3 linked regions of the Drosophila melanogaster genome follow. The gene in region 2 interacts genetically with the main gene of each other region. Each region holds a gene or a part of one and is shown on either strand. Other genes may lie near its edges. The genes, in order: Rpn10, Ube3a and drl.

The links.
Region 1: of Ube3a (region 2) and Rpn10, changing one suppresses a phenotype caused by changing the other (phenotypic suppression), as found in Drosophila melanogaster (one study listed by BioGRID).
Region 3: of Ube3a (region 2) and drl, changing one suppresses a phenotype caused by changing the other (phenotypic suppression), as found in Drosophila melanogaster (one study listed by BioGRID).

The regions. Positions count from the first base shown.
Region 1 is NT_037436.4:21,534,872-21,538,624, forward strand, and holds Rpn10 (regulatory particle non-ATPase 10), read left to right. Parts: upstream 1-2,128; 5' UTR 2,129-2,241; coding exon 2,242-2,267; intron 2,268-2,368; coding exon 2,369-2,509; intron 2,510-2,569; coding exon 2,570-3,593; 3' UTR 3,594-3,711; downstream 3,712-3,753. Other genes in the region: ppk5 (pickpocket 5), read left to right, coding at 6-105, 159-419, 472-682, 741-1,326, 1,878-1,990. UniProt on the Drosophila melanogaster protein: Binds and presumably selects ubiquitin-conjugates for destruction.
Region 2 is NT_037436.4:11,208,558-11,212,310, reverse strand, and holds the start of Ube3a (ubiquitin protein ligase E3A), read left to right. Parts: upstream 1-1,727; 5' UTR 1,728-2,104; coding exon 2,105-2,157; intron 2,158-2,220; coding exon 2,221-2,475; intron 2,476-2,579; coding exon 2,580-3,382; intron 3,383-3,444; coding exon 3,445-3,686; intron 3,687-3,751; coding exon 3,752-3,753. Other genes in the region: CG7600 (uncharacterized protein), read right to left, coding at 1-1,374.
Region 3 is NT_033779.5:19,188,211-19,191,963, forward strand, and holds the start of drl (derailed), read left to right. Parts: upstream 1-2,131; 5' UTR 2,132-2,518; coding exon 2,519-2,624; intron 2,625-3,753. Other genes in the region: pigeon, read left to right, coding at 1-32, 89-321, 381-595, 666-890, 1,236-1,375. UniProt on the Drosophila melanogaster protein: Probable coreceptor of Wnt proteins. Involved in neuronal pathway recognition and ventral muscle attachment site selection. Non-vital for development. May be part of a signal transduction cascade involved in learning and possibly memory.

The sequences.
Region 1 (3,753 bases), about 10 Mb from region 2:
TAAAGTTAGCTCTAAGATGACTCCCATTGATCAAATTCCGTTTCCAACCATAACGGTTTGCAATATGAACCAGGCTAAAAAGTCGAAAGTAGAGCATTTAATGCCGTAAGTATCATTCAAGTCCCATGGAAACCCAATTATATAATAAACTCTATTAGGGGCTCCATAAGATACGCCATGCTTCAAAAGACCTGCTATAAGGAGTCAAATTTCTCGCAATACATGGATACTCAGCACAGAAATGAAACATTCTCAAATTTCATATTGGATGTTTCCGAGAAGTGTGCAGATCTGATAGTATCCTGCATATTTCATCAACAAAGGATACCCTGCACTGACATCTTTAGAGAAACTTTCGTGGATGAAGGATTGTGCTGCATATTTAATGTCTTGCATCCGTATTATCTTTATAAGTTCAAGTAGGGTTCAACGAAGGTCAAAAGAACGAATAACTTACTTACTCATTTAAAGATCGCCCTACATTCGGGACTTCACTTCGTCCGACAGGTTTGCAGATATCGCCGTGGACTGGGATCCAATATCTGGCTACCCACAGAGACTACCCTCAAGTTACTATCCGCGTCCGGGAGTTGGAGTTGGTACCTCGATGGGTCTGCAAATCGTTCTCAACGGTCACGTGGACGACTATTTCTGCTCCTCCACAAACGGACAGGGCTTTAAGGTAAGTTGTGTTGTACGCTTTTTGCCCAGCTAGCTTATACCTTTCAGATACCTTTCAGATACTCCTGTATAATCCGATAGACCAGCCGCGCATGAAGGAGTCAGGATTACCTGTGATGATTGGGCACCAGACGAGTTTTCGCATCATAGCTAGAAACGTTGAGGCTACACCCTCTATAAGGAATATTCACAGGACGAAACGCCAGTGTATTTTTAGTGACGAACAGGAATTACTCTTCTATCGCTACTATACGCGCCGAAACTGCGAGGCCGAGTGCGACTCCATGTTTTTCCTGAGACTTTGCAGTTGTATTCCCTACTACCTACCACTAATTTATCCCAACGCCTCAGTGTGCGATGTGTTCCACTTTGAATGTCTGAATCGGGCAGAGTCCCAGATCTTCGACCTACAGAGCTCTCAGTGCAAGGAGTTTTGCCTGACCAGCTGCCACGACCTAATTTTCTTTCCCGATGCATTTTCCACTCCATTCAGCCAAAAGGACGTCAAGGCACAGACCAACTACTTGACGAATTTCTCAAGTGAATACATGCGCAAAAACTTGGCGGTAGTAAACTTTTTTCACACCGACAACTATTTCAGGAGCAGTGTAAGGACTTCGTATACCGGACCCACTGAATATATGGGTATGCTATTTATTAAATTTTTTAGATCTTAAATACTTTCTACGTTATTGTTATATCGTTACTAGAACAGTAATTGCAATTCCGATAATATTCCGAGTCTATCAGGGATGCCCGTCCGTCTGATAGTATAAACGTCCATGTTTTTTTTTTTTTAACTCGAGGGGGTATTTTAAGTCGATTAATAAAAACAGTCCATGTAGTGACGATGTTCACCCGGAGTGTAATGCACAATAAGAGAGTGTGTAATGCACAATCTGCTTAAAAAATCCAAATATTACCGTTTATCAGAAGGTATTTTTATGCTCAAAGTTGCATACTTAGGAGTTAATTTATTTGATACAAATCAAATATTACTATTTGTCGTTACATAACGTATGTAACTCGTCACCTCGTAAGGAAATATTTTTGCTTGATTTTGCCTAGTACCATACAAAAGAGCTTCAGGCTTATCCAAAATTGATAAAAACAAATTATACAACTTTTATATAGAGATGGTTTTAGAATTCAAGGCAGTTGACTAAAGCGTTGTATCTTCCTTGTATCTTTTCCAGCGTCAACTGGTGGAATCATGAGCCTAATGATTGGTTTCAGTGTAATATTCCTTGCGGAGATAATATACATCATTTTGTTTGTTTCAACATTGTTGCTTATATTAATATTCTGAATTAGTAAATAAAATAAACAACTTTAAATGTGTTACATAATCTAAATTACTTTTCCACAGGACTAACATTAAATAATGGACTGGTGTAGAAAAATGTAAAAGAATGTACATATGTAAATATAATCAAACAAAAATATCGCACAACGGTCATACAAATCCGATATTTTAATGCCGATAGTTCAGGCAGCACAGCACCTGGCAACCCTGGGGAATTACAGTTCAGTGGCAAAGTGACAAGCAAAAATACGAAAATGGTTCTGGAGAGTACTATGATATGGTAAATTATTGTTTTTTGAGCAATACGAAGAGCTTCCGCTAGTTTTCCCGTACTGCTTGCAACGGCACACAGTCTGGCACTCATATTTTGCTCTTTTCCAGCTTTGATAACAGCGACTTCCAGCGCAACGGAGACTACTTTCCAACTCGTCTCATCGTCCAGAGAGATGGCATCAATCTGGTCTGCCTGACCAAGCTGCGTTCCAATCCCGAGAACAATGTGGGCCTGATGACTCTGTCCAAGTGAGTGTGGAGCGTTTGTGCCCATGCCACATATTCATTATGTCTTTGTTTATACCTCAGCACCGTTGAAGTGCTGGCCACTCTTACTAGCGATGCAGGACGGATTTTCTCAAAGATGCATCTGGTTCAGCCGAAGGGCGAGATAAACCTCCTGACCGGAATCCGAATTGCCCATCTGGTGCTGAAGCATCGCCAAGGCAAGAACCACAAAATGCGCATCGTGGTCTTTGTGGGCTCCCCCATCAATCACGAGGAGGGCGATCTAGTGAAGCAGGCCAAGCGCCTCAAGAAGGAGAAGGTCAACGTAGACATAGTTAGCTTCGGTGATCATGGCAACAACAACGAGATTCTCACAGCATTCATCAACGCGCTTAATGGCAAGGACGGCACCGGCTCCCATTTGGTCAGCGTGCCTCGGGGATCAGTTTTGTCGGATGCCCTGCTGTCGTCACCCATCATTCAGGGCGAGGACGGCATGGGCGGAGCTGGCCTGGGCGGCAACGTCTTCGAATTCGGTGTAGATCCCAACGAGGACCCCGAACTGGCTCTCGCCTTGCGTGTGTCTATGGAGGAGCAACGGCAGCGCCAGGAGAGCGAGCAACGTCGCGCCAATCCCGATGGGGCTCCACCGACTGGCGGAGATGCTGGTGGCGGAGGCGGCGTTTCGGGATCTGGACCTGGAAACGAAGAAAGTGCCGGAGCAGAGAACGAAGCCAACACCGAGGAGGCCATGCTGCAGCGTGCCCTGGCCCTGTCCACCGAAACACCCGAGGACAACTTGCCGGACTTTGCTAACATGACTGAGGAGGAACAGATTGCCTTCGCTATGCAGATGTCCATGCAGGACGCTCCCGACGACTCTGTTACCCAGCAAGCAAAGCGCCCAAAGACGGACGAGGCAAACGCTCCCATGGACGTGGACGAGGATTACTCGGAGGTGATCGGAGACCCGGCCTTCTTGCAGAGCGTGCTGGAGAATCTGCCTGGTGTTGATCCCCAGTCGGAGGCGGTGCGCGATGCTGTCGGTTCACTCAACAAGGACAAGGACAAAAAGAGCGACGGCAAGGACTCGCAAAAAAAATAAACCGCATCTATGATTATATCTAATAAGCTCGTTTAAAGCATTTGTATGCCCATTAAAATCATTTGTAGCCGTCTTTCAAATTATGCTTCAAGTGAAAATATATAAACAAATACACACGATCTGCTGCTGACTTAATTGACTGCGAGGGTCTTTTCATTCA
Region 2 (3,753 bases):
GAGAAAGCCCACCCTCTTACCGCTTTTTGGCAAGACAGCCGCTGATATTGCAGCCGATGGAGCAGCCTGCTTTGGGGCACACATATCCTCTTGCTCCAGCTCGGAACTCAGTTCCTGCTCATCGCTGTTGTTCACTCTCTCCTGGGGTGTCGTATTCAGGTTGGCAAAGCTGAAGTCACTCGTGTTGCCATCCGAGGAGAGGTAGCCTATGGAACTGCTGTCCTTATCCTTGTCCTTCTCCCTTTCCTTGGGTGTCTTTGGCGATTTGGGACTTTGGTCGAATTCGAAGCTGCTACTGGTATGCAAATTGTAGTTCAGCGGTGTGATCTGCGGCGTATCTGGCGTTTGCTGCTGGTTGTATCCCTCCCAGCTGGAATGATTCGTCTGATTGACCAGATCTTCTTTGCGATGTGCGAAACCCAGACGGCAGATAAACGATATGGCCTGCTTAACGCTATCCAGTTCCAGTTGCAGCATCTGTGCCAACTCGGCAATGGTCATGTGCTCATCCGCGCTAACGAAGATCTTGTACAGCAGATTCTCAAAGTAGTCCCCGCTCACACGATTCATCACAAAGTTGCGCAGCGGCGGTATGGATATCCTGTCCTCCCCGCTAATGGGCACATCTAAGTAGATCAAACCCTTCCGGTACAGGCTGTGCACCACGTCGTGATCGCATTTCCCAGCCGGCTGGGCTCCAAAGTCAATCAAGTCATCGAGCAGGCCTCTTTCAGCGGGCGACAGATAGCGAATATCCGCTTCCAGGACATAGCCAATGTCCAGTCGCCACCAGGGCTCGATGTGTATGCGCACCGGAAAGCGTGGCAGGAAGTCCAGCGGATTGGGCCGCGACCCGAAGATCAAGGAGCGCGGTGTGTGAGTTTTCATATCGCTAATAAGGGCCAGGTACTCGTTGCGGCCAATGCCCAAGACACGCAGACAGTCGGCTGCTGTAAAGTTGGGCAAAGTATCGTAGCTTTTGTCGCTTTGCAAAAGCTGACCCAAAACATCCAGATAGTAGTTGAAGGGCGTCACCCTCAAGCCCTTGGTGACGATATCGGCCAGGTGGTAGGGAAATGCGCCCAATCCATTGATGCTCTTCTGTATCAATAGCTCGTAGTAGCGTTGCTCCCGGCGAAACACCTTGGCGGCCAGGTTGCCCCGGAACCTCAGCTGATTCTTTAGACTATAGTTAAAGACGAACTTCTCGTAGTCACGCTGATTGTTGTGCAGAACCGATCGCAGGTGCACGGGCAGCAGTTCCCAGGTGACATTCCCACGCACACATTGCTGCAGTTGGTTTTGGCAATTGGTTCCAGAGCCAGTGGTCGCATTGCCACCTCCGCTGGTGGCCAAATCCTCTTGCTCCGTCATCTTGCGACTCGGATTGGTTTCTCCGGCTGGTCGGACTAACTCATTGCATTCGCTCCGGCTACGGAATCCAGTATTTTCTTCCTGCGTATTATTTTTCTTTTTTTTTCGAGGAACGATAGATCCGATAATACGGACACGGTGTTATTGGTTTCATACGTCGACAGCTGATAAGACCGCCGGTGTTTTGCAGCACTGGCGAGCAACCAGTTTTTCGATAGTTCGATTATTATTAGTATTAGTCATAATATCCCTTGGAGTTTCACAATCACGTTTAAAAGTGCAAACATCCAACGGACGTCTATCGGCAGTGACTAACAATACTGTCCGATAAAGAATGTGCCTATCGGTGTGCTGTCGATATCACTAGTTCATCGATAGCACATCGTTTAGAATGATTTTCAATATTCGTTGCTGCCTGCTTCATTCATAAACACTTACGCTATTACAGTCAAAATTGTCAAAACGTTGACGAATTATCGAGCTTTAAAGGATTGCTATCAGATTGCAAGGAAGTCGGCGTTCAGCGCTCGACGAGCGGGCAACAGAGGCAACGGCAGCGGCTGAGTAGCTTCAGCATAAGAATTTTAGGTAGCCGCGACACAAAAAAGGGACATCAACATCGATTTTTTTTTGCTCCCATTTCGTTTTGTGAGTGGAGCAAAATCACTTTCGACAAACAAAGAAAGGGGCGGCGGCGGTGGGGGCGTAAAGTGCGCAGATTTCAGCGAAGATGAACGGTGGCGGGGGTGGCGAGGATGATCAGCATCTGCCAGGTGTTTCCAGGTGAATAACTTCAGCTACTTACGTTGTGGCATATTAAATCTGATTTTCTTTGCCCCCCATCAGTGCATCAGGATCTGCAGCTGGAGCGGTGGGCGGGCGAGCCACGCCCGAAATGAAGCGTTCGGCGGTGCGCAGCCTAATCAAGCGATACTTCCACCAACTACAATCCGGCTGTGGGAACGCCAACTGCAGCAATGCCAATTGCGCCTCCAGCGGCAAGGTGGCGCCCATGACGCCCAACGAGGTGGCCGCCAGAGCACTGCAGCTCTTTTCACAGGATGCACAGCTCTGCGAGGCGTTCACATCGGAGGCCAACAGGTGAGAATTCTCTTAACAAATGGAACTGGGTAGCAAAGTTTCCAGAGCACCGATAAGATTTTCTATAGGTAATTATCTTTCAATTAAATTTTTTCCCATTTTAGCCCCCAGGACGTGGACATGCTTTCGCCGAACGACAGTAGCAGTAGTAGCAGCGGCAGCTCGACAAGCACAATTACCTCAGCCAGTACCACCACGACAACCAGCAGACAATCGCAGTCAACGCCAGCTGCCGTTGTAGTGCCCGTATCCAGTCCATATCTTACCCAGAGTGTGCCGCAACTGGATATCGCCGGCGCTGAACACTCCTCCGGCGACTCGGAACCGTGTACACCCACCCTGGCGCCAGTCCACAGCTTGGATGCCAACAGTCTGATAGCGCTCTATGAGCAATGTAGGGCGGCTGACAGTTACGACAGGATTTGCCACGCAATCGGCGTTGTGTTCTCCAGCGTAGATAGACTGGGCAAGAGCTTCATTCGCAGCGCAGAACCAGCGGCTTCTAGTAGTCTCCAGGAGCTGCTGGCCAATTCACCGGGGGCTTTAAACAAGGAGCAGCTACGAACTTTGGAAGGGGAACACGATAAAGACGAAGACAGTACACAACAGGTGGACGAACAATCAGAATCGGCGGCTAATGCTACTGCTACTGCAGAATCAGTCGAATCAGAGGCGGAGCCCGAAGAAGAGGACGATGATGTGTGTTCATCCCAAAGCAGCGACACACTGGTGGATCTGCCCGGTTTGCGACGAGTGCAGCGTCTCCTTTTTGGCTGTCAAATACGAGCTATAACGGAGAAGCTTACCAGCAGCGTTATTCAGCTGTCTGACTGGGTGATTTACATGCGTACGGATTGGGAGAGGGTCATTCACTGTCTGGTCATCTGCTTTGATCTAGCCACCAATAGTGAGTTTTTCAATTGTATGCCTGGAATGTTTCAAGTTACAGCTTTTCTCATAACCCTTTAGCCAATAACAGTGTGGTGGACATGGACTATCTGGACAGGGTGCTGCCAAAATTGTGCCAAGCGGCGTCGGCCATGCCAGTGCCGGCACAGGCGCGCCTGGCCAGGATCTGGGCTGCTCATTGTTCAGATCAGCTGCATTCGTTGATCGCAGCCTGCCAGCAGCAAATTACTCTACAGGTGCTTTTGGACGAGGAATCCATGCGCGAGAACGAATCCATAATCAGTGTCACCAAAGTTTTAAAGGTATTTGTTAGGTTTATTATGCAATATGGCTTGTAATGCAGTTGGGTTAACTTCTTCTGTGATAGAT
Region 3 (3,753 bases), on a different chromosome or scaffold from region 2:
CAGCCAGCAAGCAGGAGCACGTCATTTCTGTGGTGAGTTGCTGCGTAATCTTGAGGTAACATTTTTATTAAAGCTACGAAATTTACAGTATCTGCGCGAGCTGAGCGTTCACCTGGTGAAGCACACGTCAAAGCCCAACACTGGCTTCCGCTGGCTGAAGGAGACCTTTTTCGAGCGCTCCCAGGCTCCAGCTCATGTGCATGCGGTGGCCTCCCAGTTCGTTTCCGCGCAGCTTGAACTCTCGCGGGCTCTTTGCTCTCTGGTTTGTCGTGCTGCAGGCCTAGATGCGCGCATGGAGACCTCGAGGGGTTTTCAGTTGATGTGAGTTGGTGATGATTTCAAATGTGATCACTTTTCACTCACGTCTGTAATGATTGCAGTGACCAAATGGCTGCCAATCAACAGCACTCTCTGTTTCTAATCCTCGAGCGCTATTGCCTGGCTGTGGAATCGATTGCGTTTCCCCTGCCCGAGGGTTTCTCCTCGTTCTTCACCTACTTGGGCTATCGTGCGCTGGGCTATGATATGTTTCTGCAGTATGTGGAAAATCATGTGTTCGAACTGCAAGTGGATGTGATGAAGGCCATTGTTTTCGGTTTGTAACAAATATATATACTTGTTTTCATATACTGTTCATTTCATTATTGCTTAATGTATTCCTTCAGATATTGAAGATTCTCCACTGGGCATTGAGCGGAAGCTATCACTTTTGTCTGCTCTGCCCAAGCAGCGTGCTCAAAGGTTACTCAAATGCTGGCAGCATCCGGACAGCCTTATGATCCGCGGACGCGAGCATGCGGCCAACATTCTGTCGGGTCAGCAGCAGGAGGTGTTGCACCAGCAGCGACCCACGGCCTGCGTGAATCAATCGCGAAATAATGCGCGGAGCGGTAAGATCTTGCTTGGTTAGCCCGCCATAAACACGTTAACTTTTCATTTGTACACTCTTCACCCGAACACATCTCGTCCAGCTTTGGGCAAGCCCAACACTGTTGTTTGTCACTCGCTGCTTTTGGTTTTTCTGCTTTTCATTCTAACCACGGTCGTCCTGAGCATATCGAGCTATGCGTTCAGGCAGCGCCCTCTCATCTGGTAGAAAACATTCCCATCGCTGACCGGTAAGAAACGCTGTTCAGTGTTCGCCAGTCGTTGTCCCATTTGCACATTTTGTTTCTTGTTATCTAACTTAACCATAGCCACCTCTCTAATGACCAATTTGGTTGGTATTCTTGCAGATCTAACTGCCGAAGCCCTTTCGCCACTGGACTCCTTTCTGGACCTGCTGACTGCGAAGGCCAGTCTAAACGAATTGGACTACAATCTGCTTATTGAAACTACTCTAAGCTCCATCGATCAGCTGAAACTGGAGGCTTGAATTTAATGTTAAGAGTAACTAATGAAGTATTGTGTCAAATTATCAAGTACTTAGCCAAGGCCAGTTTGCAAATATTCCAAAGATTTGATTTGTCAAATGTATTAGTTAAGATTCTTCTCGTGCAGCTTTGATTTTTGTTAGGGTTCTTCTGTGTGCTTTTAGTATTAATTTTCTGTTCCTATTATTTGTGTAACGACTGATACACATTCCAAGTCTGTAATTATAAATTATTTATGTTGTTAATTGATGTACCTAAAATCATGTACGTATTTATATATTCTGTACTTATTTATTTTATGCTTCTGCAAGCTTCTGTCTCTCTTTCTGTAATAAACTAACGATTTATAAAGTATAAAATGTCGTAATGTTTATTTTTGGCAACATGAGTTTAATTCGAAATTGAATCAAACACAATAAAAAAAAGTTAAAAGGTTAAAATCATTATATTACATCATTAATTCGAATTCATTTGGGAAGTTTGTGGGTCTATTTTTTAAACTTTATATGAATGTTTGTTTAGTTAATTTAATAAAGGATATCGAACAGTATGCCAGTTTTGGTATTTAGCCAATTGGAGATGTTCGATGAGATGTTCGAACTGCAACCGAGTTCGAGGTTCCAACACGACTGTTATACGGGTTCCAGCCTTCAAGTTCTACAGAACAAGTCCACGAGCGCCACACACAGTCCACAGTCCACACTCCACTCCGCTCGGCGTGGAAGCCATTCGCTTCGTGGCGAAGTGTTTGTTTATCCAGTTGACAGTTTGTGGAAAATCGTCACGGTGAGCGGATCAAACGCGGAAAACGAACGCGGACGAACGGCGAGAAAAGCGAGGAAAAACGGGTGCAGAGACAGAGACTGATTGGGAAATATGTGCGCCTGAGTTTTCCCGGCCAGAAGGCAAAGTGCCAAATGCTCTGACAAATAATTCCTGTAATAATCAGCGCGATTGAAATCAACGCGACGCTCGTAAAATTGCAAATGCAGCGCAAAAAGTGAACAGCAGTGCAGCGGAAATTAAATCGTTTTAGCGAGTGCCAAACGGGAAATAGAAAATCGGCAGAGTAGCCGAACTGCAGTTAAAACTATCTCTTCCTCTTATTGCGACTAAACAACCGGCGGATTAATCGAATCCGAAAGATGGCCCCCAACTTGCTAACAATCGGATTACTTTTGACCCTGATCGCCAGCGGTCAGGCCCATCTCAATATTTTCCTCAACTTGCACGAGGTGCTGCGCCTAATCGGTAAGTAATCGTGTTGATTTTCGCCTGCCTTTTGGCTTTTCAATTAACTGGGCAATTATTTGCCACTTTGTGTGCGTTCGTTCGACTTTAAATCAAATTTGATTTATGCCAAGCCGGGATTTTGTCTCCTGGGCAAACGAATGCGACTTGCTGGGATTATTTACTCTTTTTGCGTAAATAATATATGCCTTTTAATTGTTTCTAGCCTCGGAGCTACATATAAAGTAGTATTGTCCCTCCTTCAATTGGCCAGCTCACCGAGAAACAAGAAAACATTCTATTTGTCTAGCATGATTTCCTGTTTCTTTGATTTAATTGTTCGTTAGACTTATCTAGATAAATAGAAATGCTAAAGCGATTTAAATTTGTATTTCTTTGCGTTAAATTAAATTCGATTGGCAAGTGGATTCATCTCTAGATAAGTAATCCCTCTATAATCAAAGTTTTTATTTAAAAAATCATATTTTTTCATAGTTTATCCAATTTAAAACAATACAAAACAATTTTAGATATATTTTATAAACGTCTTCAAAAGAAAATAAATAGTAAAATCATGTAGTCAAAAAATGACACCAAAATGAGTATTTAAATATTTAGTTTAGTTTAGTTTATATTATTTATTTAGCCTAACTATTTTCCATAGAAGAATACTACTCTAATAAGCTTAAAAATCCGAGTGACTGATTCTTAGCCCTTATCAAAACAGATTTGTTTATCTCCATCTAATAACCAGGTTTCCACTTGGCCAAGCAAATCGGCTTGGGATAGCTCGAGTCCGCAGCCCAAGTACCTTTAATCTACTTTTATATTTATACCTCGCCCCGATCCCCATCCCCAACCTCGTCTTCTTGGACCCAAGCCATTCCCCGCCAGAAAGAAACACACACAAATCCTGTCGAAGAGATTGCCAAGCTAATAAAAGTGGGGAAAATTGTTTTACAATGTGTCACAGGGCCCAGACAAAGAATTTACAACCCAGTGAATATAAAAAATAAATCAGTAGCCTCAATCCATGGGCCAAAAGGAAAGGGTGAAGCGGCCCAAGTTGTGCCACATCCATGTGGCATCATAAAACACATGCAAAGTGTTTGTTTTGTAGGCAGTGTGTTCTGTGGATCGGGGGCGCAGG